Linked DNA regions of Nothobranchius furzeri. The protein of the gene in region 1 purifies or fractionates together with the protein of each later gene. This does not show direct contact. Links are inferred from orthologs where the notes say so. Each region holds a gene or a part of one and is shown on either strand. Other genes may lie near its edges. The genes, in order: dnajb11, sdf2l1 and sdf2.

Region 1 (10,453 bases):
GATTTGTAATTCAACAAATTTGTGTAGAATTTGGTCTGTTCTGCTCAAATAATGAAAGTTAACTTTCCAAAAGCCTTGTCCTAATATCAACAATGGTGTTTAGAGTCAGGAAATCTGCATATTGAGGGGAAAGTGTACATTTAAAAAGTACTAAGATGTTTCAAGTAGTTTATTTTTCTTGGAAAAGGAAACATTTGTAGATGAGTTCTGATGCAGCAAATAAGATACACCCAACTGTGTGCAAGATCGGTTTCTGCTGCTAGAGAACACACATCCTTGGGATTTGCAGACATTAAAATATTTAATCCTTTTTTTTAAATCCAGTATGTTGTGTCATGTGGATTGTAGCCTATACTGCCACCTACTGAACAAATACACTAGCATCCTCACCAGACAGGGCTTCCTTCAAATATAAACCATGCACAGGTACACATGTTCCACCAGTCAGTAAATGCACTGGACAAGAGCCCTGGTGGGCCCAGAGTGGGCCCCTACCACAAAAACTGGAGCTTAAAGAGCAAGTCACCCCCAAACAAACTTTTTTTTGCTGATAAACTAAATAAACGAGTGTCTAATCGTGCTGCAGACACGTGTCGTCAATAATTTGACACTTCAGTGCATCTTAGTTAAAATTTAAATATTCTGTCTAAAACTGTCAGTGTTGTGCCGTTGTCAGGTAAAAACTCTGCACTGTATTTTAATTTAAATCTGCCATCGCTATTGGCTAAGAGGTATGCTATGATGTAAACTGGTACATTATGATGTCACAATGCTGTCGTGAGCCTGTGTGTGTGTGTATTTGTTAGCGGCTCCGCCCTCTCGGTCTGCTAGGCAACAGCATGTGTTGCATTTTTCAAACAGGAAGTGGGAGTTGAGTAAGAATCTGGTAGGGGGTGACTTGCTCTTTAAGGACAATATTGGGCCAAGACGCAAATGTCCCGTTTTTAGCTAAATCTAGTAATAAAGCTACATATCAGTGGTTTTTCTTTGTCTGCTGATGTTCTGTTGCATTGTTTGTGGAAACAAAAGATGATCATTTCAAATCTGCAACAAAAAAAATGCATAGCATTTATAAATACCCTCCACAAACCCTACCACACCCAGATTGATCTGAGTATTCACATTAGTATTTGGTAAACGTATGCCTAAGGGCGGTGCGCGGGTGTGAGGGCCTAAAGCGTAACATGCACCCGGGCCCAGCTTGACCATGCTATGGCACTGGGCCATACCTTGGTCTACCCATACTGTAGTTTTCATCAACACAAGGGATCAGGCTCTCCAACCCTGGTGCTTCCTGTCCAAAATTTGATTTGATTTGCTGCTCCAACAAACCCGATTCAGCTGTTGAATTACCTGTTCAACAGGTCATCCAGCTCTCTGGGAGCCTGTTAACCACCTGCTGACTAAAGTCAGGTGCGTTGAAGCAGAGAAACCTCTAAAATATGCTAGAAGTGGATCACAGTTGGGATCCCTAAAGCAGAAATCCAGAATTTTTTTCTCAGAGGCACCATCTAGAGGCAAAAAAAGTATTGCACATAAAACCCCTCCACCTACTCCCATGATTACAGCTACAAGCAACTCTTATTCATGAATGGGCACCTGTAGCCGGTTAATAGAGCTAAGACAGTGTTTTACATTTATTATTTAAGTGGTGGTGGGTTTTATAGATACACATATATCAGGGTTTCCCCCAGGCTTTGCTTACCAACCCGCCAGGCTAAGCGTCATGCCCCACACCCCTCCCCGACCCTACCGTGTCCGCTGACACGAACGGCGCAACGAAACTTGAGCCCTCCATCAGCTGATACTGGTGAGAACGCAAGATAACATATAGTCAACAAAACTGTTCCTGTTTCAAGGCCTTAAGCGTTCTCTTATCGCTTCTACAGGATTCCTCTTGCCTCCGAATAAAAGTGAACATTTTCAGCTCATATGAGTTACGGTAACTAATCATATAATGAAATTGACCATATGGTTAAATGAAATGTTTTGATTAATCTGTGCTTAGAATTAATAAGAATGAAATTAAATATATGACCCAAATATTTAACCAGCGTACGTGACTTGACAAGCACACACTCATGCACATGGTTAATCTCATGACACGCTGCTTTCTGATCCACAAATCAGAGCTCCTGTATCTGAGGGAGGTGTGCATCGGAGGTTGGTTGGTAAAACCCCTTTACATGTCAAATTCTGGTTGGCCATGTAATCATAATATGGAAATTGTTAAAACAGAATCACTTGCTGAGTGATTCAGTTAGTTTTTGAGCCGAACTCCGGACTGGCCACCGGAGGAAAACTCCCTAACCACCGCATCTCTTGACAAGCTGTCAAACCTGTTGCACGCTGCAGCGACACAGAACCTTGCTCCTTCGGAACAAAGCTGACACAGCCAAGACTCCTTCAGAGTCCATCGTTCCATAGACGCAAACAACTACCTGTTGTGATCAGGGAGACGACTCTGGACCGACCTGGTCGTACTGCGGTTTTTTTCTACGAACTTCGTAATCTTTTCTTGTTCGGGTGTTTGGCTTTGAACGCAGGGACCTCCAGCTGCGCTACCTTTGGCGGTCACGGTTCTGAACTTATCCAGTCGAATATGCTTGAGGTACCGATGTCTCCCATCTGGAGCTGCTTCATCGGATTGCTACCTGCATGGATGGGCGGCCTATACTCCCATCAGGTTTGGTCTGAAGTATGCCTTCAACATTTTTACTAAAATTCTAATAATTTAATGAGAAATGAGAGAAAGGGTTAGGTGAAGTCACTAAGGGAAGGCCGATGCACATCAGGTGTCTTTGATCAAGAGTTAAAAAGACAACTTCCCTTCTGAACATGGGTGTTGTGGGTGCCCTCCTATGTGTCCTCTGATCCTGAGTGGTTTTAAAACCAGGCAGTGCCAGGATTTTCTAAAGAACACCTGGTTTTGGGGATTAGCTTGCTTTCTGGCACAGCGCCCTGATCTGTATGTCCCAGATGACAGAGAATCCCCCAAAACAAAAGCATCTTGTCCAGTTTCCAGGTAAAATGTAAGCTTTAGAACATGCTGGGCTTGTCTTTCAGGAGTGCTGGGTTTCCTACATGAACCCTCAGGTGTTGGAAATGTATCTGAAGATATGTTTTCAATGAAGATCTACTTCTAGAGTTCTCTCAATACAGACACAAGTCACTGTGACCATTAATCTAAATATTATAAATAATGCTTGTTAGTATTTGTCTGCCTTTTCAGGTCTGTGTTGAGAGGGTAGCAGCTCCAGGATGTCTGTCCTCCAACACCGTAGCCAGTGGGACCCCAAGGTGTTCCCTGGGCAGCCTGGCGATGTGATCTCTCCAGGTAGTTCTGGGTTTACGCAGATTATCGTTTTATTTGTACAGAAAATAATCTTCATTTTAAACAGTTTGCTGCTTGTAAGTTACCAAGGTCAGTTCTTGTATCTTTATTGTTCTACCAAACAAGATAACAACAAGACACCCAAACCAACACTAACCTGGAGAAGATGTCATTGTGAGAGCTATGGTGGCCTTCCTTGAGTCCGTCTTCTCCATACATATCATACTGTTTCCTCTTTTCTTCATCTGAGAGGACCTACACACACACACACACACACACACACACACACACACACACACACACACACACACACACACACACACACACACACACACACACACACACACACACACACACTTTCTTCATACAACGTGTGGGGCATTTATTGGTAATCTTTCAAAGTTCCCTAGTGTTCAGTCACCACTGTCACACTTAGAGTTTAAAACATTTTGTGTATTAAATTAAACAATTTAAGAAAAAACTGAAAAATGGTCACCGTTATTAAGATGACAGATGAAATAATTAGGACAAACCCGTTATAGATTCATTTCCCAGGCTGCAAAGATATTACTGAATTGGGATTTTTACACTCATAAATCAGAACACGTCTGAAAGCTAAAAAAGGTGAAAACAGTCAATTTGGAAATAAAACCTTGCGCCGGAAACACCTGCAAAACCCTTTCAGAACGCCACCCCCACTTTTCCACGTATGCCTTTCCGCCATGCTCCAGCCAATCAGAAGCAGCCACACGGTCCAGTCGACCAATCACCGAGCTCGTAGCGTTTCCAACAACAACCAAGTAGCAAAGCTTACAAAAGTCTCACAATGGAGCCCACCGGCACTTCTGGGGATCCAGTGTAAGATCTCCAATATCCCTGTTATTGTGTGACTATGACATGTTTACAGCCGAGACGGGCTCGCTGCGCCCCTCTTGTCATGTCACTGACATCAGACATTACAACCGACTCTGGCCCACCTCATAAGCTGCTCCTAAATCCGCAAATTTGTCCTGAGCTTTGGGGTCGTCCTGGTTCCTGTCGGGGTGCAGCTGCAGAGCCAGCTTCCTGTAGGCCTTCTTAATGTCTCTTATTGATGCCGTCTTGCTCACCCCCAAAATCTTATAGAAATCTCGACTAGATCAGATGGAGAGAAAAAAAAACATAGCAGCATGTTCAGTATCACAGACATGTAGACATTATAAACAAAGCTGCTAGTTTAAGAGTTTGTCCCGACTGACAGCAGCTAGCTACACACCGGGAGAAGCCGGTTCGGTCTCACTCCTGTTAGCCTACAGCTAACTAATCAAACTAGCTTAAAAGAGGCCAGTTAGAGTCATACGGGTTGGTAATGGCGAATATATCGCTTTGATGGTAAACGACTAAATGCCGCTTAAGTAGTTAGTTGAGAGCGTCAGTCAGCTCCACACATGGAGGACGGTTAGACCAATCACAGAGGAACATGTGTACCAGCTGCTCATCGCAGCTCTCACTTACCCGGCGAGCACCGCCGTGGCGACATAAAGAAGCAAGCAGCACACGTTACACAGGTTCATGCCCTTTTTAGCCATATATCCGGAGGTTAGTGAAGGACCAGATAGAGAAGACGCAACCCGGCTTTCGTAGAAACCCACTGCCAGTCACTAACCCTCTTCTTCCTGTCAGAGAGAGCCCTCCTACGGCGAGAGGGCGGGCCTCCTCTCCGGCAACTCCGCCCCGCCTTAAAGGCGCACCGCCCGCCCGGTGTCGGTCCAGGATCAATAATGCCTGGCCATCAATAAAGTTATTCTCTAAATCATCCGGACTTTCACTCAACCTACATAAATGTGAACTGCTACCAGTTAAAAATTGTTCTGCAACTTCAATCCATGGAATACCTGTAAAAAAAACTCTGTAAGATACCTTGGAATTCAAATAATAAAAAATGAGCAATCCAGATGCTCCAAGAACTTTACTCCTATTATAGACAAAACCCAAAAGATCTTTAATTGTTGGCTACAGCGAGACCTATCAAAAGGAAGAGTTCTGATTTCAAAAGCTGTGGGTATCTCCCGTCTAACCTATGCTGCACAGTCACTACACGTTGATAATACAACTTGTAAATCAATTAGCAAATTGTTATACAATTTCTTATGGAAAAATAAAACCCACTACTTACGTAAATCAGTAGCTTTAAATCCATATGATAAAGGAGGTTTAAGCTTTATTGATTTCGGTGCTCTTAACGACACCTTTAAAATAAACTGGATTTAAAAGTATTCAAAAAATCCCACTTCTATCTGGAATTTTATCTCACATCATGTGTTTTCTAATTCAGGTGGTCTTAACTTCCTACTGCTCTGCAGTTACAGTATTCCAAAAATACCACTAAAACTTTCTCACTTCCATCAACAAATTCTTTTGGCGTGGGCACTGATTTACAAACACAACTCCTCCCCGCAAAACTGTTTTATTTGGAATAACTGCAATATTATTTATAAAAATAAAACAATTTTTTAAATAACTGGTTTAATAATGGAACCATCTTGGTTAGCCAGTTATTTGATGAAAAGGGGCTCTTATACAATTACTCTGAATTCCTTAGGAAATACAATATACCAATAACGCCCAGAGAATTCTCAATAGTGTTTGATGCCATCCCATCCGGTCTGTCCATGTTGTTCAGATGCTCCCACAGCGCTCCACTATCAGTCAGTCGCCCGGATGTGTTACATTCTTCTCTTGGCAGTGTTTGTTTTTCCTCTCGTTGGTGAATAACAAAATAAGAACTCTCTTTCAGGATACAATGACTTCTGTTCCATCGACCATATCTTATTGGGCTAATTTTGTAACAGATATTGAATGGAAAAAAGTTTGGACCTTACCACAAAAATTTCTTTTAACAGTCAAAGTTAAAGAGATTACATTTAAATTGATTCATAAGTTTTATCCTACCAAACAATATTTGTCAAAATTCATAGCTGATATAAATGTAAATTGTACCTCTTGTCAAGAGCAACCTGAAACAGCTACTCACTTGTTATGGTCGAGTAAATTTACAAGTAAATTCTGGAAGGACTTCCGCAAGTTTATTAATGACTCTGTTCTCCCTAACTTTCAACTATACTACAAAGATGTTATCTTTGGTCTTCATAATTTTAAAAACAAGGACAATGATGCTTTCTTCTTTGTTAATATGTTTTTATTTTTGGCAAAATTTCACATACAAAAAAAGCAAAGTCCTTGGCAGAAAACCTGAACTTCTTGTATTAAAAATGAAACTTGAACAATAAGGACGATCTCCTTATCAAAAAACACCAAAGCTCTCAAGTCTGTTAACATTTGTAACCATCTGAAACTGCTCGATTGACTTAACCTCTTCCAAACCTTTCTTTTTTTATTTTTATTTTTCCTTTTTCCTCCATGTCTTCATCATTTCCATCGTTCTTCATTGTAATACTATAATTCATTGTAATACTACAATGGTATGCTTTATGTGATCCCTGTCTTACAATTGTCTGTTCAAAATGTGGTAATTAAAGTTAAAAAAAAGGATCAATAATACCGGGGTCCTGCTGATGACGTCACATTACTGCAAATCTACTCAGCTTTCACACATACGCTTTGGAAAGACATCAGAAGTTTTGCAACACCTAAATGTTTTCTTTATAATTGTAATTTGTTAATAAAACACCATATTATCTTTGTTTTGTAAAAAATGTGAAACTAGGTAAAACCAACATCGGACTGACAAAATATAGAACAGTTCTTATATGTGAAGCCATATCTGTTTGTATTAATGTGGAGTTCATCTGTATATTTCCTTAGTTGTTATCTAAATACATTCTTTGACTCCTGAACCGTCTACAGATGGTTCAGAATGCCTGTGCTCGGCTTCTGACCAAGTCCTCCAAACACACCCGCATCACCCCGCTTCTCCTCCAGCTTCACTGGCTGCCAGTCAACTTCAGGATTCATTTCAAGATCCTGGTTCTGGTCTATAGGGCCTTAAATGGACAAGCACCATCATACATTGGTGATCTTCTTAGTCCCTACACCCCCAGCAGGTCCCTGAGGTCCAGTGACCAAAGCCTACTGGTTGTGCAGCACCAGGCTAAAGACCAAAGGTGACAGGTCATTTGCTGCTGTGGCCCCCAGGCTCTGGAACTCTCTCCCCCTGAGCCTGAGATCAGTGGACTCAGTGGTCTCCTTTAAAAAGCAGCAGAACACTCACTTGTTCAAGCTGGCTTTTGTATGCCCTTCTTCACCACTCTCTCTTTATTCTGCTCTCCCCACCTATTCCACCTTCCTCAGGATCCACTGATTTCCCTCTTTCCTGTTCACTCTCTCTCTTTCATAACATTTTTTAATCACAATTGCCTATTTTTGCTCATTTTAAATAAAATTTTCAACATTTTCAAAATGCTTTTTTATATTTTTACATTTTTTTGTTTTTGTGAAGCGCCTCGTGATTTTTATCTTGAGAGGCGCTATAGAAATGATACTTTCTTCTTCTTCAAAATATTGCTTGGTGTCTTTCAATAAAGTTCTTATATTTTATTTTACCTCATTTCATCAACATCAAGAGCTTTTGAGGGTCACCATTTATCATTTGCTTATATTTTACATTTCATTTAGAAATTCAAACGTATTTTCTCCAAAAAGTGTTGATTTTGGACTACAGGACCACAACCGCTAACTACGACCGCAAATTTGTTCTGACCAATCAAAATCATAACGTGATAACGTAACTTCCGTAAACTTCATGTTTAGCCAATCAACTACTTTGACGTCATCGACAATCGAAGGACCCCGAGTCGATCCTGCACCCGAGCAGGTCCTGTACCGACAGCGGTCCTTCCTACCCGTACAGCATCAGTTCTTTTAATGTATCTCCCGGTTTGGTTAACTCCGGGTCTTAAGTTTAATATAACTACAGCGTTTGTCGCTCGTCGTTGTCCGCTTGACGGCCCACCGAGCTCCCTGGGCGAGGGCCGGAGACTGGCGGTAGGAGCCCAGCTGTTAACCAGCGGTAGCCACGGTAACTAGCACCGAACTTCAGGCAAGTGCTTGAACAAGTGGCCGCTGTCGTTGCGCCATTAAAAGTAAGTTTAGGTTGTTTACACAGAATAGACGCAGCAGGGAGAGCTTGTTTGGCTAGTTAGCTTGTGTCTGAAGTGATGTGTTGCTATGTACAAAAGCCAAGATTATAGTAAACAAACTCTCATACAGGAATTAGATATAACACACGATCAAGCCGTTCACCGCTGATGTCTATGTAGGTGATGAGAACAAACAGAAAGTCCATTTGTTTCCTTTTTAGCAGACGTGGCTCAAAAACATAAGTTAACAAACTTGGACCAAAATAAACTGAAATAAGATCATTTTAAAGACATTAATCATTTACTGATTTTTATTTCTTCTTTAAATCTGACTGTCTTGAGTTGCTGTGATTCAGATCTGGTGCCAGAGTACAGACTTCATTTGGATAAAATCAGATTTATGAGGAGGTTACATGTTGCTCTGATTTTTGAGCGTGTGCGCTTTGTGGAACTACTTGCACTGAAACAACATAGTTTGCAGACATTGCGCATTGAGTGACGCTGTGCCACTGCTCTCTCATCAGACATGGAGGCAGGCCGAGTGGCCATATGGCCACGTATGGAGCCTTTCCTACTGGGTGCCCTGCAGGTGAACACATTCTTGCTGCTGTGATGTTGTAATATATTGCCCAGCTGATGTTAATGTTTTGAAACTAACTAGAGCCACTGACTCAATAGGTGGCGCCTTCCTCCAAACTCGGCCTTCCCTACCTTCGTAAAATGGCGATCTACGTGCAAACGCGGGATGGCTGCTTCCCTGTTCTGAGCTGGCCCAGGTGGAAACGCATTGCCTGTGGAAAGCTGCTGCTTCCAGAAGATGTGGCTTGGCTCTACTTTGAGACCTTTGACCTTTTAGTGGATCACCGTCCACAACAGAGGCTAGAGTGGGCTGAGCGTCTATCCCAGTGCTCCTCCAAAAGCGAGCTGGACCATGCAAGGAACATGGTGTAGTATAGTTAAACGATACTTCTGTCTGTTTGATAGTATTTGTTTGTTAGCTCCTCTCATATTTAAAAGGGAACATTGTGTTGATTTGGAGGCTTTGTGTTTTTGTCTTAAGTTGTCGGTGGACACGCTGCAGTTCCTCCTCTTCCTCTACATCCAGCAGCTGAACCGCATGTCTCTGCGCACATCTCTGATTGGTGAAGAGTGGCCCAGCCATCGTGCTCGTTCCCCTTCCCCATCAGAACGAGAGGCCAAAATCAGTTATCAGAACAGGGTGCTGTGTACTGTTCCTGCAAGCAGTATTTGTGAGATCTCATTGAAAACAAAGATCACGCTCAGTTGTTGTCTGACGTTCCACATTGTCTGTGTTTGTTCCTGTTCTTCGATCAGCAGAACTGGGACGACCAAGCCCATCTGTCATTCATGCAAAGTCACCTGGCTGAGATTTTGGAGCTGTTAGCGGAACCTGGTCAACTTTCACCGTCAGGGCAGGCCCAGAGAGACAGCCAGGTCGGTTCTTACTGAGTGCCCTAGCGGTGTGTAGGGAACCTTACGCGAACAGTACTAAAGGAGTTCTGAGCAGTCCTGATGAGGGTATCTAGAATCTAGTTATGTAAACTGGAGGCAACTTTCCTTTGGATGACATCTGTGTGACATTCATTGTGCCACGGTTAATTAATTAGAAAAATAAAATCATTTTTCGGGTTGGGCATCGATTGGAACCGGTTCCAACTGTTCATTTTTCCCTGATTCGTCCAAAGTTTTTTATTTCAATTCCTAGTTTCGATTCCTAGAATGCCAACGGAAGAGGAATCCGCGGCCGATCTCCATGAAAAATAAACGTGATCTGCAAATTGTGATCAACGCTTTTCAGAGCTGATCCCACCAGCTGTCTGTGCAGCACCGAGTCCCCCCCCCCCCCCCCTCCGCCCATCCGGATATAAACAAACGCGTCTGGCGAACTATTACTCCGTGACGTAAACTTTAACTCCTGCAGCGTAGAGGAAACTTGTTAAATACATCAACACGGTGGATTTAATAGAAGCTTTAAAGACCAAACTCTGGACGGTGTGAGGTGAGTTTGTCTCACTGCAGA
Region 2 (10,538 bases), on another chromosome or scaffold:
AAGCAGGAGATAGGCGTAGGAGACTATTTTCTATCAGAAGCTAAAGCAGGAGATAGGCATAGGAGACTATTTTCTATCAGAAGCTAAAGCAGGAGATAGGCGTAGGAGACTATTTTCTATCAGAAGCTAAAGCAGGAGATAGGCGTAGGAGACTATCTTTTATCAGAAGCTAAAGCAGGAGATAGGCGTAGGAGACTATTTTCTATCAGAAGCTAAAGCAGGAGATAGGCGTAGGAGACTATTTTCTATCAGAAGCTAAAGCAGGAGATAGGCGTAGGAGACTATTTTCTATCAGAAGCTAAAGCAGGAGATAGGCGTAGGAGACTATCTTTTATCAGAAGCTAAAGCAGGAGATAGGCGTAGGAGACTATTTTCTATCAGAAGCTAAAGCAGGAGATAGGCGTAGGAGACTATTTTCTATCAGAAGCTAAAGCAGGAGATAGGCGTAGGAGACTATTTTCTATCAGAAGCTAAAGCAGGAGATAGGCGTAGGAGACTATTTTCTATCAGAAGCTAAAGCAGGAGATAGGCGTAGGAGACTATTTTCTATCAGAAGCTAAAGCAGGAGATAGGCGTAGTAGACTATTTTCTATCAGAAGCTAAAGCAGGAGATAGGCATAGGAGACTATTTTCTATCAGAAGCTAAAGCAGGAGATAGGCATAGGAGACTATTTTCTATCAGAAGCTAAAGCAGGAGATAGGCATAGGAGACTATTTTCTATCAGAATCTAAAGCAGGAGATAGGCGTAGGAGACTATTTTCTATCAGAAGCTAAAGCAGGAGATAGGCGTAGGAGACTATTTTCTATCAGAAGCTAAAGCAGGAGATAGGCGTAGGAGACTATCTTTTATCAGAAGCTAAAGCAGGAGATAGGCGTAGGAGACTATTTTCTATCAGAAGCTAAAGCAGGAGATAGGCGTAGGAGACTATCTTTTATCAGAAGCTAAAGCAGGAGATAGGCGTAGGAGACTATTTTCATGTTGAGCCTGCATGAAACACTAACTCGGTGATTGATTAGAATCAGAAATAAGATTTAAAAATGGCTTTTCTGTGAACCACACCTTTAATCATGTTTGCCTAACAGCCTGTTTCGAGTTCCTGTAAAAAGACAAGAAGGTTTAACTGACAGCTGGTCAGGTTGGCGGTGAAGATGGAGACACCTTCACGCTGGCCCACAGCGGTAGCAGCAGCTGCAGCTTTGGTCTTGATGACTAAATTATTCACAAATGAGGAGGTTTTAAACATGAGCTCTAACTGGATTCACATCTTTGTTGTATTTATCCTTCATTTGCAGCTAGGAGCCACTGATTCCACTGATGTTGCCCCTGATGTCAGCATTATCAATTATCTATCAGCTTTAGTCTGGGGTGGACCCATATGATCAACATGCTGTCCTCTTTATGAATAGGTTCAAATTAGGCCTGTAGCGACGCCTCGATGACGTCGAGGATTCGATTCTAAAAAACCGTTGACGTCAAATCCGGAAGTCGACGCACCATGTGACCAAACAGAGCAGCGCGGAGAACAAAACGCCGTTCATCTGATACTCAGCAGCAATGTCTCTGGTACCCCGGCGCCCTACCTCAAAGGTGTGGGAATATTTTAAACGGAGCACAAAACGTGAAAGTGCCGTTATTTGCAGTCTTTGCACCATGGAATTAGCTTATCACACCAGCACAACGTCCACGTGAGAGCATCTGAAGCGGAGGCATCCCGTTGTTACCCGTGACTCCCGCGAACAGAAGTAAGTAACATTATATCATATGTTTGCTAAATTGATTGCATGTTTGTGTAAGATGTGTGTGAGCTCTGCGCACTTCGGTAGGGCGTGTTTGGTTTGGCTAAACATAGCTTTATTTAGCTAACGTTAATTAGCGATAGCATATAATGCTGGCCCAAATGGCTAACTAGGTAATTGCTGCTAGGCAATGACAAAATCTATTGTTGTACAAAACATGACTTAACATTACAAAATTAGCCACACCAGCATTCTCAAATGACTTAATCATGGCATAGCACCGCAATCAGGCTAAGAGCAGATTTAAGACGCCATACTTTCATAGCTGTTGTTCTGATATGCTCCAAATATGTTCTGGTTTGCATTCTGCAAAGCCTATACTTGTGTGTAGCTTATATTGTTGACTTTATTTTTTATTTGGCAACAAGGGCGGCGGCAAAGTAATGACTTTACTGCAACAGGGAAACATGTTTCTAACTGTGGATTTGACAATAAACATTTTTAATCTTTGAATTGATTTTGTGTTTTCCAGAGCAAAGCAAAGAACCCTGTCGTCTTATCTCGGGCAAGAGATGCAATGCACACCTCAGAGGACAACCGGCTGAATAAAACGGTCTTGAAAGTAATAAATATTAGCTAACTGTTGCTTGCTTTCAGCATCTTTTAGGAGGAAACTGCTAACCATGTAAAAAAAATAAAAATTCACCCTCATTTAGATAAAAACATGACAAATAGGACAAAATAGGGTCCAGTGTCTATAATCTCCAGCGTTTGCTTTTGTTGGCTTCTATTTTCTTCATGTCCTTGTGTGATTTGTCTAGTAATCAAATGTTGAATGCTATGTTGTTTCTATATTTATATTTTCCTCATCTTACAGTTGATAAAGACATGAGGCCTTTGTCTCTTGTTGAGGGTGACGCCTTCATCGATATGGTCGAATACGCCTGTCCCGGCTTCAAATGGCCATCCAGGTGGTGGTTCACAAACCAGTTGGAAAAGACATACGAAGATACTCTGGAGAATTTAAAGAAGAACATAAAGAAGAGGTCCTCAAAAATCACGCTCACCACTGATGCCTGGACAAGCATTGCCACTGAGGCCTACCTTGGCGTGACCTGCCATTACATCGACGACAACTGGGAGACGGTCTCATTTGTCCCCTCGAAGAGCGACACACAGCAGACAACATCGCTCTCTGGATCGAAGAGGTTGCTGAGAAGTTTGATTTCTCTCTTCGCAATGATGTCCAGGCAATAGTCCACGACAACGCAGCTAATGATGTGAAAGCCCTACGGATCCTTGAGGAGAGGCATGGTGTATCTTCCCTTCGGTGTGCTGGCCATACAACACAGCCGATAGTCAACCAGGCTCTGAAACACCCCCAGCAGGGCACTTGGGGCAGCAAGGGAGCTTGTCAGCTACCTTCACAATAGCAGTTTTGCCCTCCTTAAACTAACGGCCAAACAAGAGCAGATGGGCACTCCTCAACACAAATTAATCCAGGATGTAGCTGTGCGATGGAATAGTTCCTTCTATGTGATTACGCGCCTCCTTGAGCAGCGCTGGCCTGTAACTGCAGCCCTTTCAGACCCAGAGGTCACTAAGGCATCAAAGCGTTACCTTGATATGAAAGCTGAACAGTGGAGCCTCTTGGAAGAATTACAGCAAGCACTTGAGCCATTTGAGCAAGCCACTGTCTTCCTTAATGGAGAGGCAAACGTCACAGGATCCGTCCTGCCGCCTCTGGTGAAAGGTCTACAGAAGTCCACAGAGAAAGCATTTGATTGTGCTCCCATTGCCACCTTCCAAACAACAGTCGCTGCAGAGATTGCTTCAAGGTCAGTGTAATTATTCTGCTCTTGAAATTAGGGCTGTCACGGTAACCGCAAAAATGAAATATCACAATATGACGAAGCCCACCGCGCTGCATCATGGGCCACCGCGATTACTGAACTTGGTTCAACTCAGTGATGCATGTTGAGAAGGACGGCTGCACTGGTATCAAAACGAAACGTTACTTCGCTCCTTTGGGAGCACTTTGGTTTTCAGTACGTCAGCTGCTGCGCAGCCAGAGTCCTTGGCCGAGACAGAGCTGCCACCAGCGGCAAAAAAATAATAATAAACGCTCGGAGACCTGCTGAAGTCCCGGACAAGCACTGCTTCTGCAACCGTCCCGAAGAGAGTTTGAGCCGAGCTGGAGCTCACTCGCTACCTGCAGGAGGAATGCATCCACCCTAAAGAACCCCCCTGACATGGTGGAGCAACAACCGGGAGAGATTCCCTTTGCTCGCCAGTCGCAGCAAGTACGTGTGCGTTAGTGCAACGAGCGCACCATCCGAGAGGGTTTTCAGTGTTGCTGCAAATGTTGCCCCCCCTCTCAGATCCTCTCTCAAACCGTATATGGTTAACATGCTGGTTTTCCTTGTGGGTAACAAGGACGTGACCGAGCTATAAAGCACCGTCATTCGTGTGTGTGAAAGTGAAATGATAGTGCGCGCACGCCCGGTACATGTCATTTTTTATGCTTGATTTTAAACAACTAAACAAAATGGGGACTTGTTTCTTATTTGTTAGATGCTGCAGCCAAATTTGCATTTAAAAGTTTAACCTCCTGAATTTTGTTGTTTTTAAGTTCAGTCGGACTCCGACTGTCAGAGGAACTAACGTTACTGCGATCTGTGTTGTTACTGCCCTTTGATCTGCATTCAGTAAAGTGTTATTAAAGAAGGCACGGCAATTTTTAACCTTTTTTAAATGTGTAAACATTATGTTTAGATAGTACTGCAATAAAAAAAGGGCTGCAATAATATCGCACACCGCAATATTAAGCCACCCTGAATCACCGCAGGAGGAATTCCTCAACCGCGACAGCCCTACTTGAAATCTAGTTTTAAACTAACTAAATGTATTTTAAATTAAGCTTTCCCAGTTTGCATCTTAATGTTTTCCTCATATATCATAGAGCTGTTGCTTCTACTAGTCTTTCCCTCCAAGCACTTTGAATTTATGTAAGTGTAAAAATCATAACCGTTATGTTTCAGATGGAAGAGTCAGACTTCATATGATGAAAATGAGAATAATGTGAGCATCTTCGCGGCAGCCCTTGATCCACGATTCCGAAAGCTGAAATTTCTTTCCACTGATGGATGTCCTGAAGGTAAAAATCAAACTTCAGAGCCTCGCACTTGAAGCCAGACCAGTTCTAGTGAAGGAAGAACCTAAAAAAGGATTTTGCAGTTGTTTTCCAAATTTGGGTTTCTGGGGGTTAAACAGTTTAATTTTGTGTTAAACACTCGGGGATGTTCATGCTGTGACCTGCCTGTTTTGCACTAAAACTAGAGTTAAACTAGAGTTATTGGAACTGTGTTCCAATAATAATACTGCTTTTATTTTGTTTTAAGCAAAAGATGTTTGACTTTGGAAAATCGTTGTGTAATAAAGTCATTTATACAATTTTGGGGGTATTTCTTTAACATATTTTGGTTTTAATCAATTGTACAGCAAAAAAAAAAAAAAAACAATCATAAGATTAATCATTTAATTAGTCATTAGAATAGTCGACTATTCGATAAAATAATCGCCAGAATAATCGTTTTGAAAATAATCGTTTACCTACAGCCTTAGTTCAAATAGCCATAAACTAGCTTACAGCTGCTAACATAGCGCATGTACACTGAAATACTTTATAGATGCGACTACACATCTGAAAGGGATGTTCCACCCTTAAGTGAAAATCTGTCCATTGTCGTATTCCCCAGAGTTAGAGAAGTGAGAAAAAGGACATTTAGTAACCAGTGCAGTGATTCTCCTGGTCTGCTTTAGCTTAGCATAAACAACGGAAGTGATTAGCAGGAACCAGCATTGTGTGTGCAAAAGTGATTCAAAGGACTCAATGATACCAGTTAGTCCTGGTGAGCTCAGTAATCATGTCGACTGCAAATGAAAATAAGAAGTAGCCCGATGGATTTGTAGGAGCCCATTTAGACCTGATTGTTCAGGTATGATAACTGTTCAGTTTCCTTGTTGTGAAATTCTGTTTTACATGTTGTTAATAAATTTGCTCCATTAGGAGCCAAATTAATTCCTCTGTATGATTTTCCCTTATTTTGAATGGATAAATATATGTTGGGTGGATTTTTCCCAAAAACCCTCAAAAACATTTAGATGGAAATACTTTCTAATAAAAGTTAAAAATGAGGGGAAAGAACCGAAGGTGAAAACCAGAGAAGTTCCCAACGGCACATACTGTTCCAGGAGAGGTCCGTCTGGAGTTCTGTCAACTAAAACCTCTCTAACTTCTCTATACTTCTTTTTTTTTCATGATTTTTGGGTCAGCAAATGTTCAGACCCTATTCTGTGGATTTCTAGATGTTTTAGGCTGCAACGAGGTATTTTAGAAGGAATTTTAGCATCATAAAGTGGATTTTTTTTAGGCGGAACAGATTTTTTTTTCTAATTTCTGCTGTGTTCCAGATCCTGCTGCTCTCCATCAGTGACATAAGTGATGCGTAATCTTTAGAGTCTTACCTTTATTTTGATACCAAAACAGCTCAAATAAACCTTGTCGTTTATGAGATATGCTCAGAAAATATCTGAAAAATGGTCTAGGGTTCAAGAGCTTAAATGTTTATTTATCTTTTTTTGTACCGCAGCAAGTTCCTAATGTTGTGATTCGCGCACACGTGGCTTGAAACCCTTCTGATTCACATTTTAATGACTATCTGACACCCTGACTTGTCAATTTGAGACATTTTAAAGCTTGATTTCCACGTCTGGGTCGAACTGAGAACTGAGCTTTAGATGATTGCACCTTAACTGCACGCATGCTGCTCTGGTGTATGGTGTTCTGTCAGAACGCCGGGGCATATGTAAATAAAACACAACCAGGACTAAACCCTGAGGAGTTCCACCAAGAGCAGAAGCACCACCACCAACTGGGACTGTTGCACTGAACCCCCCGAGTGAGAGGAGAGGATGACCCGTGCTGTGGCTCAGAGATCCGTCCTGATGGACTATCCCATCTACTGGAGGAGTCTGGTGGTTCACTAGCACACTAGGACCCGTCAGAGCTCACGCGGGCTTTAGTACAGGTGACGGTGGGCTTACCTGAGCCGTACTTGACATCGTGAGAGTGGAGGCGGACGTTGTGTCTGGTGTTGAGCAGCTTGACCAGGGAGCCGCAGGTCACAAAGTTGAGCTCCGACTCTCTCCCCTCGCAGCTGGAGCGCAGCAGCAGCAGCAGCAGCGACAGCAGCGGCGGCAGCGAGCGGACAACGCGACGGACGCAGGAAACGCTCTCCATCTTCAGCAGCTGCTTCTGCTAGCAGGTACAAGCGCTGGGAGAGTCCCGCAGACACGTCACTGGAGTGTGCGTCTGCACCAATCAGCGCGTGACAAGTCCCAAGCAAATGACTATCCGAACGTGATTGGCCAGGGTACTTCTGTGTTGTCATAACGCTGACGCGACACGTCCACTGGTCCGCCATATTGGAAGGGGAGACGCAGCCAAGAACGCAGTACAGGCATTGGTGTTGGTGGTCAGGTGTTTTCACCATTACACAGCCTGTCACCTGCGTGCGTGGTGGAGTGCTTTTCATCCACTAGACTAGCCTGGACCCCGTAGGCATGGCCATATATAGGTCTATTTTCTAATCCAGTGCCATTCACATTTGGTGCCCATTTTGATGCCAAGAAAGCACTTATTTTTGAACGTCACCAACAGTTATTTTAGGTTTGTTTGAAATAATAATTTGGTTGATGAACAAATGTTATATGAATACTAAATGAAATGTTTTGATTAATCTGTGAAATGTGTATATTATTACATTGAAAGATTTATATATGACGATCCGGAATGTTGGATTTAACAAGTGAATCATTGTCTACACTGCATATCTCCTCATGACGCAAGGTTAATGTAATTGCAGACACATAGATATTTTCTTACCCACAAATCAGAGCAACCCTATCCGAAGAAGGCGTGATGTCTGAGGTTTGGTGGTTAACATCTGGCCAAGCTCTGATTGGCCACACAAATCATAATATGAGAATATTAAAAACAGAATCACTTGCTGAGCGATTCAGCATTCCAGCTTTCCAATTCAGCATTCAAGCATTCAAGTTATGAGCATAACTTCGACTGGCCATCGGAGGGAAACTCTAACCATCCCATCTACAGCTGACACCGCAAATGGTTCCTTCAGCACCAAGGCGAGACAACTTCAACTCCTTAAGATTTATTCCTAAGACGCAAACAACTGTGTGACCCGGCGACATCTCAGGACTGGCTTGGTCGCCTCGCGATTATCCTATGAACCTCGAGGCACTGGGGTCACCAGACTCCCTCGGATCCAATCGGGGGTCTCCATAACAGGTGCGTGGGCTCACCAGATTGTGTCTGATGTGATTTTAGAAACCATCAATTAGTTTAGAGCAAACCAAATTCACTCCCTTCTCCAGATACGAAGGTTCTGATAACATCACATTCATACATCATCACACCTCACATCCCACCCACTCAGATTCATTCATCACCTAATATGTGTTTCCTAGTTGTCATGTTTTTAACTGTTTAGAAAATACATTCTTACGTTTTATAAACCTGACTCTCTTCTTGAATTAACACGAAGTGTGTTTGATCCCTGAAAAAGCAAAGAATCCAAGAATCTTCTGATTAAACATTCAAAGACCAAGCAGGTTGATATTCTATATTTATATACAATATTACATCTTCCTGGTCATAAGTGAAGGTAATATATTAAGCTTAAAAGCACAATATTTACCCCTCTACATATTATATGTACAACGTTACAAATCTAAACTTAAATCTAAATAATGATCATTTACACCTGCATGCTATTCACATCATCGTATCCTATTTGCAACTTCAGAATGGCGGGCCGCTCTGTTGGGACTTATGAAAAAATTGAGCTGACATATCTGGCGCTGTAGTCTGGTTCCTGCATGTTTCAGATAATGCACACCGCTTATTTGGTTCATTTAGTAATGAATCACTCTTGTAGACACTTATGAAGGCTGGGAGAGGTTTCAGCTGTTAGATTAAGGTGTTAAAAATACGAACGCACAACGAAGACATACGTTTGACCCTAACCCACCGAGAATTAATAACGGACACTTAGGGGGTGCTAAAAGCAAGCAAAACTGCCAAGTGTGCCTTTAAATGCATCTAAATGTTAAATCTAAATACTTATTAGAGTTCCTGCTCTTCATGCCTGTTACCCTAGTAATAAAAAATAATGAACAATTTGTACAAAAACAATAGGGTTCCCTGCTCTTTAATCGGGATAATAAACAAGTTACGTTTGCGCTGGAAGGATGTCTGCGGCAGCGCAGATTTAGCCCCACTCCCCTTTATACGTCTTATCCTTTGTGAAAAACACATTATCGTAACACATTTGGCCACTTATGAACGACGAAAGGCGCCCTGAAGCCGACTCAGCTATGTAGGAAAATGGCTTGATTGAATTTTGAATCAGGCTTGTGCAACACAGCTGTTAGATGGTAAGCTTAGCTTGGTTTATAGCAACTTTATAGTGTATGAACCCTTCCACTTATATAGGCTAACCAAGTGAAAAACCACCTGCAACTTATCGTCATTGCTGCTGGGCACAATGCAGGGGGAAGCGCGCTCTGAAGAGTAGCTTGGACACCTGCCATGACGGCATGTTCAATTGTTCCTGCCTAGAGCGAGTTATGCAAGTCTCTCTTCAGTTTTAACTGGTCATTACAGCCTATTACCAGATCCTAGCAGAGAAATAATTGACAATCTCCTGTTCCTGGAAAGCCTTCAGCCATCCTTCGATGACTGAAAACCACCATCAGCTCTGTCTCCTGTCTGCCTACAATTATTATAATAAATATTGTGTTTGACAGGTTCTTTGTGCTGCCAAAATGTCTCTTTTTAAGTCCAGTTTTTATATTTTAATGGATATTTATAAATTATCATCCATCCATTTTCATCCGCTTATCCGGAGTCGGGTCGCGGGGGCAGTAGCCTAAGGCGAGAGCAGACTTCCTTCTCCCCAGCCACTTGGGCCAGCTCCTCCGGGGGGATCCCGAGGTGTTCCCTGGCCAGGTGAGAGACATAGTCCCTCCACCGTGTCCTGGGTCTACCTTTAGGTCTCCTCCCGGTTGGACGTGCCCAGAAAACCTCACCAGGGAGGCGTCCAGGAGGCATCCTGACCAGATGCCTGAGCCACCTCAACTGGCTCCTCTCGATGTGGAGGAGCAGCAGGTCTACTCCGAGCCCCTCCCGGATGACCGAGCTTCTCACCCTATCTCTAAGGGAGAGCCCAGCCACTCTTCAGAGAAGACTCATTTCGGCTGCTTGTATCCGCGATCTCGTTCTTTCGGTCACTACCCAAAGCTCATGACCATAGGTGAGGGTAGGAACGTAGATCGACCGGTAAATCGAGAGCCTCGCCTTCTGACTCAGCTCTCTCTTCACCACGACAGACCGGTACAACGCCCGCATCACTGCAGATGCAGCACCAATCCGCCTATCGATCTCACGCTCCAGTTTTCTCTCACTCGTGAACAAGACGCCATGGGGCGATGGTGGCACAGGAGTTAAGTGCTCGCCCCGTAATCGGAAGGTTGCTGTTCCAAACCCCGCTCAGTCTGTCGCTGTCGTTGTGTCCTTGGGCAAGACACTTAACCCACGTTGCCTGCTGGTGGTGGTCGGAGGGACCAGTGGCGCCAGTGCTCGGCAGTCTCGCCTCTGTCAGTGCGCCCCAGGGCAGCTGTGGCTACATCGTAGCTCATCCCCACCAGTGTGTGA
Region 3 (10,522 bases), on another chromosome or scaffold:
GCATGTGCTTTCTCTGTGATGCCCATGCTAGAGAGTGTGGACAAAAGGAAGCCATGGTTGACAGTGTCAACTGCTGCCGATAAGTCGAGCAGGATAAGTACTGAGAATTTGGCAGTCGCTCTAGCTTCTTTTAAAGATTCTGTCACTGCTAACAGAGCAGTTTCAGTGGAGTGGCCCTTTTTGAACCCAGATTGGTAAGGGTCAGACAGTTTTGTGAGAGGTATTCTGTGATCTGCTTGAAAGCCACATTTTCAGTGATTTTGGACAGAAAAGGGAGGAGAGAGATAGTTTGGTAGCTCTCCACATGATTTGGAGGAAGAGATGGGTTTTTTAGAAGCGGTTTAACCTGAGCATGCTTGAGAGAGGTGGGAAATGTACTGGATGTCAGTGAAGCGTTGATCACATGTGTGACTGCTGCGGCTACTGTAGGAGCAATAGTAGGAGCAATAGCTTGGAGCAGCTTAGTCGGAATGGGGACGAGTGGGCATGTAGTAGGGCGGCTGCACGTGAGAAGCTTGGACACACATTTCTCAGTGAGAGGGGAAAAAGAGGAAAATGAAGCAGTAGGGCCTGAGATGGTTGGGCCAGAAAATATCAAAATATGAACCTGCTATTTACTGAAATTAAATATTGAGGCTGTAATCCACTAACCTGGCCTGCCAGACTCCTCTGTTTAATTCTGCACAGAGAAAGGGTCTGGGAACTCTCCTATTCCAATAACCCCACCCTGTGAGAATTCTAACCAAGCCAATCAGCGCTGAGCAGCGTACGTCACACACCACAACGCTGAGTTTGTCAAACATGGCGATTGAAGCGGAGTTCGCTACAGCTCTTTCCTCTGTTCTGAATGACTTGGACACGTCTTTAAAACAAGTAGAAGCGCTAAAAGCCTTTCTTCTAAAAAAAGATGTTTGCACTGTCGCCAGCTAAAAAACTACAGCATTGCGTGGTACAGTCGGCATTTCAGTCTTTTCTGATTAGCTCTTTTTGAGCTGCCTAGTCCCGCCCCTCAAGAGCCTCTCTGCCTTGAGTTACCAGACTCTTTCTCTGTGCAGAATTTAACAGAAGACGAGTCTGGCAGGCCAGGCTAGTCATCCACAACAGCCTCCTTGTTATTTCAGACCATTTAAAAAAATAAAATCAGCCATAAAAAAGGCAGAACAAAGATTAACAACCTTTATAAAGAATATGTTATTTCTGTTTTTATGAATGAAATAAAATTCCAGTAGAAATATCAGATAAGAAGAGCAATTTTATATGCAGTCTAGATTCAAGGCTGCTGTTATTCTTGCAGAAACCATCCAACCAATAAGAAAAGATAATTTTCTCTGAATTAAAAAAAGTTATGGCTTTTCTGGTAGATTGCATTTATTTTGCTATGTTTTGCTATGTTTTACAATAGGGCGGCACAATATATCGTAAATATATCGTTATCGAGATATCAGCATGCACAAGATGCATATTGAAAAAAACAGATAAATATAGCAATAAATGGTCAGCTCAAATGCTTGCTAAACATAATGCATTCTGTCAAACGAAAGCCTTATATTTTTTTAACAAATCAAATAGAGCTCTTCACCCATTTGGCCAAATGGGTGGGTCCTCATAGCCTAGATATCCGCCGCCGAGGTGGACGGCACTTAATTTTGATGGTTAGCAAACACCTGAGTTAGCTTTGTTCTACTCTTATTGCTGATTCTGCTTTTCTCGGGATCCACTTATTGCCTTTTCTTGCTCATTTTCCCTTTCCTCACATCTTTAGCTTTTCTCATTTTTATGATTTTTTTTAAATTTTTGTTCCTGAGTTAAGTTTTTATTTATCACAAGTAATATCGTCCTCGCAATATTAATCATTGTTATCGAATATTGCACGTTTTCCTAATACTGTGCAGCCCTATTTTACACTAATGATTTGTAATCACACGTAACTCTTCTCATTAATTCGACAGAAATAGGTAATCCTAAGCGTTAGCTAAAATAAAAAAGTGTGTTAGAACAGAAAGTTCGGAGGATATTGTATGTTTTAAGCCATCAAATTCTAAAACTGGATATCTGATAACTCCTAACTTACTGCGCTTTTTACGCCGATGCCTGACTTCCTCTTCGGAATCACTTCCAGCTGGACTTGCACTTTTTTCTGCTTCCTCTTCTTCTGCATCATCATCTCCATCGTCAATCAGTCCACGTAAATTTCCATGCTCATCCTGCTCCTCTGGATTATCCACATCTTCTTCTTCATCTGTTGTAAAGTGGCAGCATTCAACATGCCATCTAACACCAAAGGTCAATCACACTGATAAAAAAAAAACTCTGATTTTACCATCTTCCTCTAGGAACCTCTGAGTCTTCTTGGGCTTAAGGTCCTTCTCTTCGAACTCCTCCTCCGACTCCTCAGCTTCACTGTCAATAAAATCTGACATGACAGCTGCTCCTTGGAAATTGAATAAGAAATAAGAATTGGTTAGAATAATTTGTTGATAAAATTACAAAGTTAAGTTTTCTCTAATTTATCATAAATGTATTTACAGAAAGAAACAAAAACTCAAATCATGGTTAGAAATGTTTGCACAGAGAAGCACCTGAGTTAGCTTTAACTTCTCAAAAACCTATTAGATACTACACATACATATTAAGCCTACACTTTTATCATTCAAATAAATTATTATTGTATTAGACCTAAACTGTTTGTTACACTAAGACCATCTGATAAACCACATCAGCTGTTGTACATTATTTACCTGATTATCTTCAAGTAAAACGTAGCACATGTTTTATAATGTAATTTGTAACAATTCAGTTTTTTCCTCACAAGTAACTATCAGTAATACTATAAATCCGTGTTTGTGGACAATACGTTGGAATTTTCCTATCTCCAAAGTAAGTGCGTAACCACAGAGACAGCAATCTTGTGTCGCAATGCGTACTTACAGCATTGAATAATGTCAAGAACAGCTAAGTAGCTAAACATAAAAGTTACAGACGTGGTTTACGTTAATGATCGCCGTTAGCCGATGTCAATATAACTGCAGATTTCGAAAGAAACTATGACTAGAGTAACACCTTTTGTGTGCCATAACCGTTAAGGATGCTAACTACGCTAGCAATGTAAGCAAGCTAGCTGATAAACGTACCGACAACTAAACATTTAATCTATTTTATGTTATTGATATTAAAATGTCTGTAAACAAAATTTACAGATAACAATGAAAGTATGGCTTTACCACGCCCACAGTTAGCGAAAATAAACCGAGGCCTCTTAACCTAACACTTATATTAGCTTGGTAGGCTTAAGCTGTGCGTTAGTAAGAACAAGCAGCTAAACCTAACGAAAAGCACAACGTGTAACTCAACCCTCCAAAATTACCACGGTAAATTCAAACTTACACGTCTCCGTGCAGTTGTATAATCCAAATATACTTATAAATGTCAAATATTTGTGTTGTGTTTTGTATTTTTGAGCTTGCACTACAAAAAGATGGCCGAGAAGACCAGTGTGGAAATTCTAATTCTTCCTCGTGAGTTGAAAACGCTGTGGGGTCCGTTTCCACCACCTAGTGGAATGTTTGGTGTATGGCAGAATGTGATCTAAATAAAGGAAAATACGGTAATGTGATCAAAATAAACAGTGTTGGGCAAGTTACTTCAAAACTGTAATGCATTATTTATTACTTGTTACCCTCATTTTAAAGTAATTAATTACATTACAATATTACTGATTTAAAAATGTAAGGCATTACACTACTTTTAGGCATTACACTACTTTTGCATTACTTGAAGTAACTTTCACCAAAACAACTTCAATATGAATCTGGTAATCTGACGCTCAGTGAGCTCATGACATATATGTGGAAAGTGATGTGGTGTTTGAGCTAGGATTGCTGTTAAAAACAGTCAGATATAATAACAGTGCTTTAAAATGATTGTTTATTAAATGAAAGCAACAATCTCAGCACGCTGCCATCTTATATTAACTGAGCAGGGAGTAAGGTGGTGGGGGCTCCAAGCTATTTGCCTTGGTCCCCAAATGCCTTGATACGGCCCTGGATGTGGGACTGACTTCTGGGGTGATTCGATTCTATCACTAGTATAAATATTAAAATGCTTATGTATATTATTGCTTTTCACTGGTAAAAATGTGTATTGGGGATAAATCTACCTACTTTTTTCCTTTTCAAGCACATTGTTTTGTTTTCTTGATTTTATGTGAATAACTTCCTGCCCTTTCTCTCTCTAACCTTCCTGCATGTTGCATGTTTTCTCTGTCTTCCAGAAAAACTGTTTCCTAGATTTCCTACTTTCTAACTAATCAGCCAAAGGGATCTACCAAACGCAAATAAATAAATAAATAAATAAATAAATAAATAAATAAATAAATAAATAAATAAATAAATATAAATAAAAAAGCTTCATATGCGCTGCGCTCCAGCAGCAATGAGTTGAAATCACCGGGGCACAGATTATGAACTCAGCTGAAAATTACATGAAGTACCAGAGAATATGGGCTGATATAAACGATCGCAAACGAATTACTTTGTTTTGGTGGAGCGGTTTTGTGAATATAACAGCGGCCGCGCGCAGGACGCAGCTGGTTGAGCCATTACCGCCGCGTCCTCTCTGCTCATAGAATGCCCGCAAAGCTGAGTCCATAAATGACATAATATATGTAGATACTGGATCTTTTTTCAGGCTTCCCGCAATTTGAATTTTTAGGAAACCCACATCTTGATTCTGGGTTTAAAAATGCATTGTAATTACCGCGTTACTGACAATTGTACCGAGTAAATAGTACCATTTTCTTTCCCTGTAATACCTTACAGCAAAAAGCAATGCATTACATTATAGTTAATTACTTTTGTACCGCGTTACTCCCAACACTGAAAATAAAGTACAATAAAATACAATAAACAAAGCCACCTTCTGAGGTTTAGATTTTAAAAAGAGTTGTTTAGATAGATAGAGTAGATAGATAGATAGATAGATAGATAGATAGATAGATAGATAGATAGATAGATAGATAGATAGATAGATAGATGAGATAGATAGATGATAGATAGATAGATAGATAGATAGATAGATAGATGATAGATAGATAGATAGATGATAGATAGATAGATAGATAGATAGATAGATAGATAGATAGATAGATAGATAGATAGATAGATAGATAGATAGATAGATAGATAGATAGATAGAGAGATGATAGATAGATAGATAGATAGATAGATAGATAGATAGATAGATAGATAGATAGATAGATAGATAGATAGATGATAGATAGATAGATAGATAGATAGATAGATAGATAGATAGATGATAGATAGATAGATAGATAGATAGATAGATAGATAGATAGATAGATAGATAGATAGATAGATAGATAGATAGATAGATAGATAGATAGATAGATAGATAGATAGATAGATAGATAGAGAGATAGATAGATAGAGAGATAGAGAGATAGATAGAAAGATAGATAGGTAGATAGATAGGCTGATTGACTGATTGATTGATTGATTGATTGATTGATGAGGTGCTCAGAAGTCTCAGAATGATATAATGCTAAAATGGGACTCATCAGTGAATATAAACAAATGACCAATTATGCCTGTAATTTCAAAATACATAAATAAATCATACAAAATAATGATTTGAAAGGAGATGTGCAGTGAACTATAATTTCTCTTTTAATTTTACTACTTTTCCTCCAACAACAGGGAAATCATCTTCTAAGCCAAAGATAAACAAATGTCAGAACGACGTTACCTCTCCAATCCACACGGGGCGCTGTTTCAATGTCATTACATTGGTACGTTACTACTGACGTAGCGAAAACTGATACAAAGCCTAGGGAGGTATTGTCAGTGGCATTGGAGTTAGAGTTGTAGTCGGAATGGCTAACTTAAACTTAGATATTTTTGACCATTTTCTACCAGCGTTTTTACTAATTTTATTCTGTATATTTGGGCTTTCTGCTGGGACGGAACTGAGCTTTGTAACATGCGGTTCAGTCATTAAACTATTGAACACAAGGCACAACGTAAGACTGCACTCTCACGATGTTCGCTACGGATCCGGTGAGTTATGGTTCGTTTGACATTTCACTTCAAAATATGATGTTTGCAAGGTACAGCTTCCTCACGGTCACGTTAGCTGGTGTTTGTAGCTACAAAAGATCGGGTTGTCTATTGTAGATGCAACGGTAAATGTCAGTCTGACACTGTCGGTCAGGTCGTCGTAGATTCAGGCTGATCTGGTTTGACTGTTACTTATTTAATATGAATCAGGAATTAATTGAGCGTGTCTTTAACCATTAATCTTTAACCTTTAACCTTTTAAATTAATTGTAAAAAACGGTCTAAGATGCGTGTCTTTAACCATTAATCTTTAACCTTTAACCTTTTAAATTAATTGTAAAAAACGGTCTAAGATGTTCACTGCAAGTTTTCTGTACTGACGATTAATTTCAGTACATTTCACCTGACTTCCAGCCTTTCAATCATTTGTGAATTTCTCTAGTAAAAAAAATAAGAATACTTCAGGACCATCCGCCTTACTTTATTTTACTGCTAAAAAGTGTAAATGTAAATATTATAATAAGATGCTATTACGATTAGAGTAGTTTCCATTTAATGTTAAATAACTCAGAAAATGTCACTTTTCATTTATCAATCAAATTTACTTTTTCGGCCCAATAACATCGTTCATCGTGTGTGTGCGTGTGTGTGTGTGTGTGTGTGTGTGTGTGTGTGTGTGTGTGTGTGTGTGTGTGTGTGACAGGTAGCGGCCAGCAGTCTGTAACAGGTGTCTCTGTGGTGGAGGACAGTAACAGTTACTGGAGCATCCGTGGGACCAGAGACAGTTCGTGTCATCGGGGGTCACCAGTGACGTGCGGACAGACGATTCGCCTCACTCATGTCAACACCGGCCGCAATCTACACAGCCATTACTTTTCCTCTCCGTTGTCTTCTAACCAGGTGGGTGTATGAGGAGGTAGATGATGAAAGAACCGATTTTGGTGTCATGAGGATTTTTCATCCCTTTGGAGATTTTGAAACTCGTGTACACTTGGGTCGCATGAGACCGTGTCATCTTAAACAATTAGTTCTTTCTCTCTGTGTCTGCAGGAGGTGAGCGCGTTCGGTGAGGAAGGAGAAGGAGACCACCTGGACGAGTGGACGGTTGAGTGTGGAGGATCTGTGTGGAGGCGCGAGGAGGCCGTTCGCTTCCGTCACAAAGCCACCGACATGCTCCTGTCTGTGACGGGGGAGCAGTACGGACGGCCGATCCACGGTCAGACGGAGGTTCATGCCATGCAGAGTGCCAGTCAGCACAGCCTGTGGAAAGCCATGGAGGGCATTTTCATTAAGCCCAGTGAGAGCCCGGCAGGCAGCCGAGACTACGGCCACGCCCACACGGAGTTCTGAACTTCACCTTTCTGTTTTTGCGTCGGTCTGTTGTCCGGTCTGTCCATATCCACCATAAAATCTGAACCAGCACCTTCTTTCCCCTAAAAATGTCTCATCTTTATATTCACAGGAGATGTATCATCAAAGATGCAGCAACTGCTCTGAGATTGTATTAAAATCCTCTTTATTTAGGTCTGTGGCACTAAAAAAACAAGTAAACCGGGTTCTTTACCACAGATCAGAAAGCAGATAAACACACTCACCAAGTGAATTCTGTCTAAGATATCCTGTTACACCTGTGCCTATAAAAACCTGTAAAAAGTTATGGGTGTTTACATCACTAAGCTTTTGTAAACAGGGTTTTTTACTATCATTTTGCTCTTTTTAAAATTATATTTTTAAGCCATATTAAACAAAGAGTTCAGCAGTATTAAAATTATATTTTCTTTGTTTCCATGTTGCATCTAAGTTATTCTGCACTGATTTCCATAAAAGAACAAGCAGCAGTGTTGTGTCTGTGAATTAGAGGATCCCCTAACTGGATGCCGTTTATTAACCGTGTTTGGTGGTTTATTGTTTAGTCTGTGCAGTTTTACACTCAAATTGTTTTGTGAGAGCAAATGTGCTCCAAAGTTTCACACAAGCATAAAACTCCTCACATTAAAGAGTGTTTTCATGCATAAACACCACTGTGACTTTTTTATTTGATGTCAATCCATTTAAGTCCAACTTTATTAACAAACAACCAGCATAGGACCAAAGCACTTTGAGCTAATCCTTGAGAAATAAGTTAGCTGCATTTATACAGCATGAAATAAACAAGCCTCAAATAAAAACAGTCGAGCAGTTAGAAATTGCCACATGAATCTGATAATTAATGAAGGACTTGCAAATAAGGCAAGTAGTTAATGTCTTTTTGGACCATTGGTCTTGCCTAATGCCTTGTTTGCCCATTTAATGACGTCTCTTGGTTCATTATCTGACAGTTAATGGGGTTTCAATGTGATGAGGCTACTCTAACTCGTATTTGACCTGTAACGATTAATTCTGAGCACTGCAGGAGTAGACGAGTGTTTTATGTGTGTTTGCTACACTCGTTCACCTGTGGAGACTTTCAGATGCTTCTGTAGATTAGTTCATGTGTGTTATGAGAAAGACTTAATCTTGAGGAAGTACTTGGTGATACAAATAAGGAAAAAGTACTTTATTGGAAGAAATTTGGTAGAATCAGAAATCGGACTTGGCAGAAATCCTCTTTGGTTTTATCTCCAAATAGATTTAAGGAGTAAAAACCGTGGAGGCAGCGTGATGAAGTCTATTTAGAAAATTAGATTTTCTTGCCTTTTTAGTGGAGTCAGTAGCTGCAATTTTTTTACAACACAGAGACAGGAAACAGACTGAAAAGTAAACATGAGATAAACAGCCCCTGTGTGCAAAATCGTTAGGTAATTTAAAAAAGGAGTCACTATGTGTTGTAAAAGGTTCTTGTGGGTTTTAGTGTGAGTTTTTAGGTTTCTACAGTTTTTGTTGGAGATTTAAGTCACATTTCCTTTTTAAGAGTTAGGTTAAGTTATTTTGGATGCCCATGTGCGCACCTTCTACTGGCTGAGGCAGAGGTCTGCAGCTGTGGCTCTGGAGCCACAAGAGGCTTTCTGAATCCTCCACAACGATTCTTAAAGTGACAATGTGCATTTTTATATTTAATCTCTGGAAATATCCATTGAAATGTTATTGAAAATTAATAAAATGTTGTCCAGTTGTAGAAAAATATTTGCGGCTTTGTAGGACTCAATAACTCGAAAATGTTTCGTTATTGAAATTTCTGACTCGCATCGAGATAATTTTTCCCATGTCAACTTAATAATGAAAAAATGAAAAGATGTGTAGGTTGGCAATGTTCATGTCCCTTTAAGAAGCTGTACCACCTTGAGTCACATGTGTAGCTCGCGGGTGACGATGGATGAAGCTATCGCGTTAGCGTTCATACTCGTTTAATTTTTTATTTTAATTCTGGTGCCTGTTAGCAACCGAAACACATCCTCACGTGCTTGTGGATATAATATAATGCATATGGAGACATGACTGTAATAATAAGTAAAGGTTATCAGCGGTAGATTTAATTTGCTCATAGGAAACGTGGCAAAAGAAAACAAAACACATTTCTCTTTATGGCCTGTATAGTTGTCATCATCAACATAACATGATTTACAGAATACATGTTACCAACTAACATTTCATGTTCTATCATCAGATGTTTGGATCATAACATGGACGTAATTTTCAGTTTAAAAGTGGGGGGGACACGGGGGGGGGGGGGGTATCTTTACAGTATGTTCTAATGGGAAACAGGCATCAACACAAACGGTTGTTTTCCGCTTGGTCCTAGAGCTCAACCAGTGTCAATTTAATATAGCATACTATTGTTTTTGGATGGTAAAAAGTGCAGGGGTCAAAACTTGACTTTGGAAAAAGTGGGGGGGACATGTCCCCCCTGTCCCCCCAAAAAAATTACGTCCATGGATCATAATATGAACCAATCAGATCTTAGATCACGTGAGAGCCAGGCGTTTCCTGTCATACCCTAGGTTTTGCAGCCGGTGGAGAGCAACTGCAGTGCCTTGCTCCGAAATCTGTGGCCACCTTGATCTCACTATATCGTTGTGTATACATGATGTCAGAGCAAGTCGGCGTCAAGTCAGACACAAATCTAACCGGCATGCACTGTGCACCAATCACCGGTGATCTAATCTGTGCAAACCTGGCTCATCTGGAACACAGCCAATGTAACTCGATGTAATACATGTGACAGCCCCATCTAGTGGACAACTTTTGTTTCTACACATACCTGTAGTTATCGTCCATTTATCGTTATCGAGGTGAAATCCTCAGTGTATCGTGATGTTGATTTTAGGCCATATTGCCCAGCCCTACGGCTTCGTAACGTATTACCATAAAAATTGGGTCTGAAGTACATAGGGTGCGGGTCTAGCAACTTTGGGGGATGGCAAATTAGTTGCCATGTTTCCTTCTGGCCGGCTCAGTGTCCTGTGCCTGTTGATGACATCACACTAGATGACTGGCTGGATATACGACTTAATGGAAGTTATGTTAGCACG

The links.
Region 2: the proteins of dnajb11 (region 1) and sdf2l1 purify together in Homo sapiens (affinity purification with mass spectrometry; 3 studies listed by BioGRID and IntAct, counting the BioPlex papers as one, with this or other methods). This does not show direct contact. The link is inferred for Nothobranchius furzeri from reciprocal best matches to the Homo sapiens genes DNAJB11 and SDF2L1.
Region 3: the proteins of dnajb11 (region 1) and sdf2 purify together in Homo sapiens (affinity purification with mass spectrometry; 3 studies listed by BioGRID and IntAct, counting the BioPlex papers as one, with this or other methods). This does not show direct contact. The link is inferred for Nothobranchius furzeri from reciprocal best matches to the Homo sapiens genes DNAJB11 and SDF2.

What each region holds. Positions count from the first base shown.
Region 1 is NC_091754.1:36,587,654-36,598,106, forward strand, and holds the start of dnajb11 (dnaJ homolog subfamily B member 11), read right to left. Parts: upstream 5,019-10,453; 5' UTR 4,903-5,018; coding exon 4,829-4,902; intron 4,469-4,828; coding exon 4,312-4,468; intron 3,590-4,311; coding exon 3,492-3,589; intron 1-3,491. Other genes in the region: tbccd1 (TBCC domain-containing protein 1), read left to right, coding at 8,939-9,001, 9,091-9,357, 9,473-9,631, 9,751-9,867. UniProt on the Homo sapiens protein: As a co-chaperone for HSPA5 it is required for proper folding, trafficking or degradation of proteins.
Region 2 is NC_091757.1:21,482,455-21,492,992, forward strand, and holds the start of sdf2l1 (stromal cell-derived factor 2-like protein 1), read right to left. Parts: upstream 7,112-10,538; 5' UTR 7,041-7,111; coding exon 6,845-7,040; intron 1-6,844.
Region 3 is NC_091750.1:60,576,960-60,587,481, forward strand, and holds sdf2 (stromal cell-derived factor 2), read left to right. Parts: upstream 1-5,507; 5' UTR 5,508-5,890; coding exon 5,891-6,074; intron 6,075-6,777; coding exon 6,778-6,974; intron 6,975-7,124; coding exon 7,125-7,424; 3' UTR 7,425-8,090; downstream 8,091-10,522. Other genes in the region: supt6h (transcription elongation factor SPT6), read right to left, coding at 2,072-2,239, 2,321-2,420.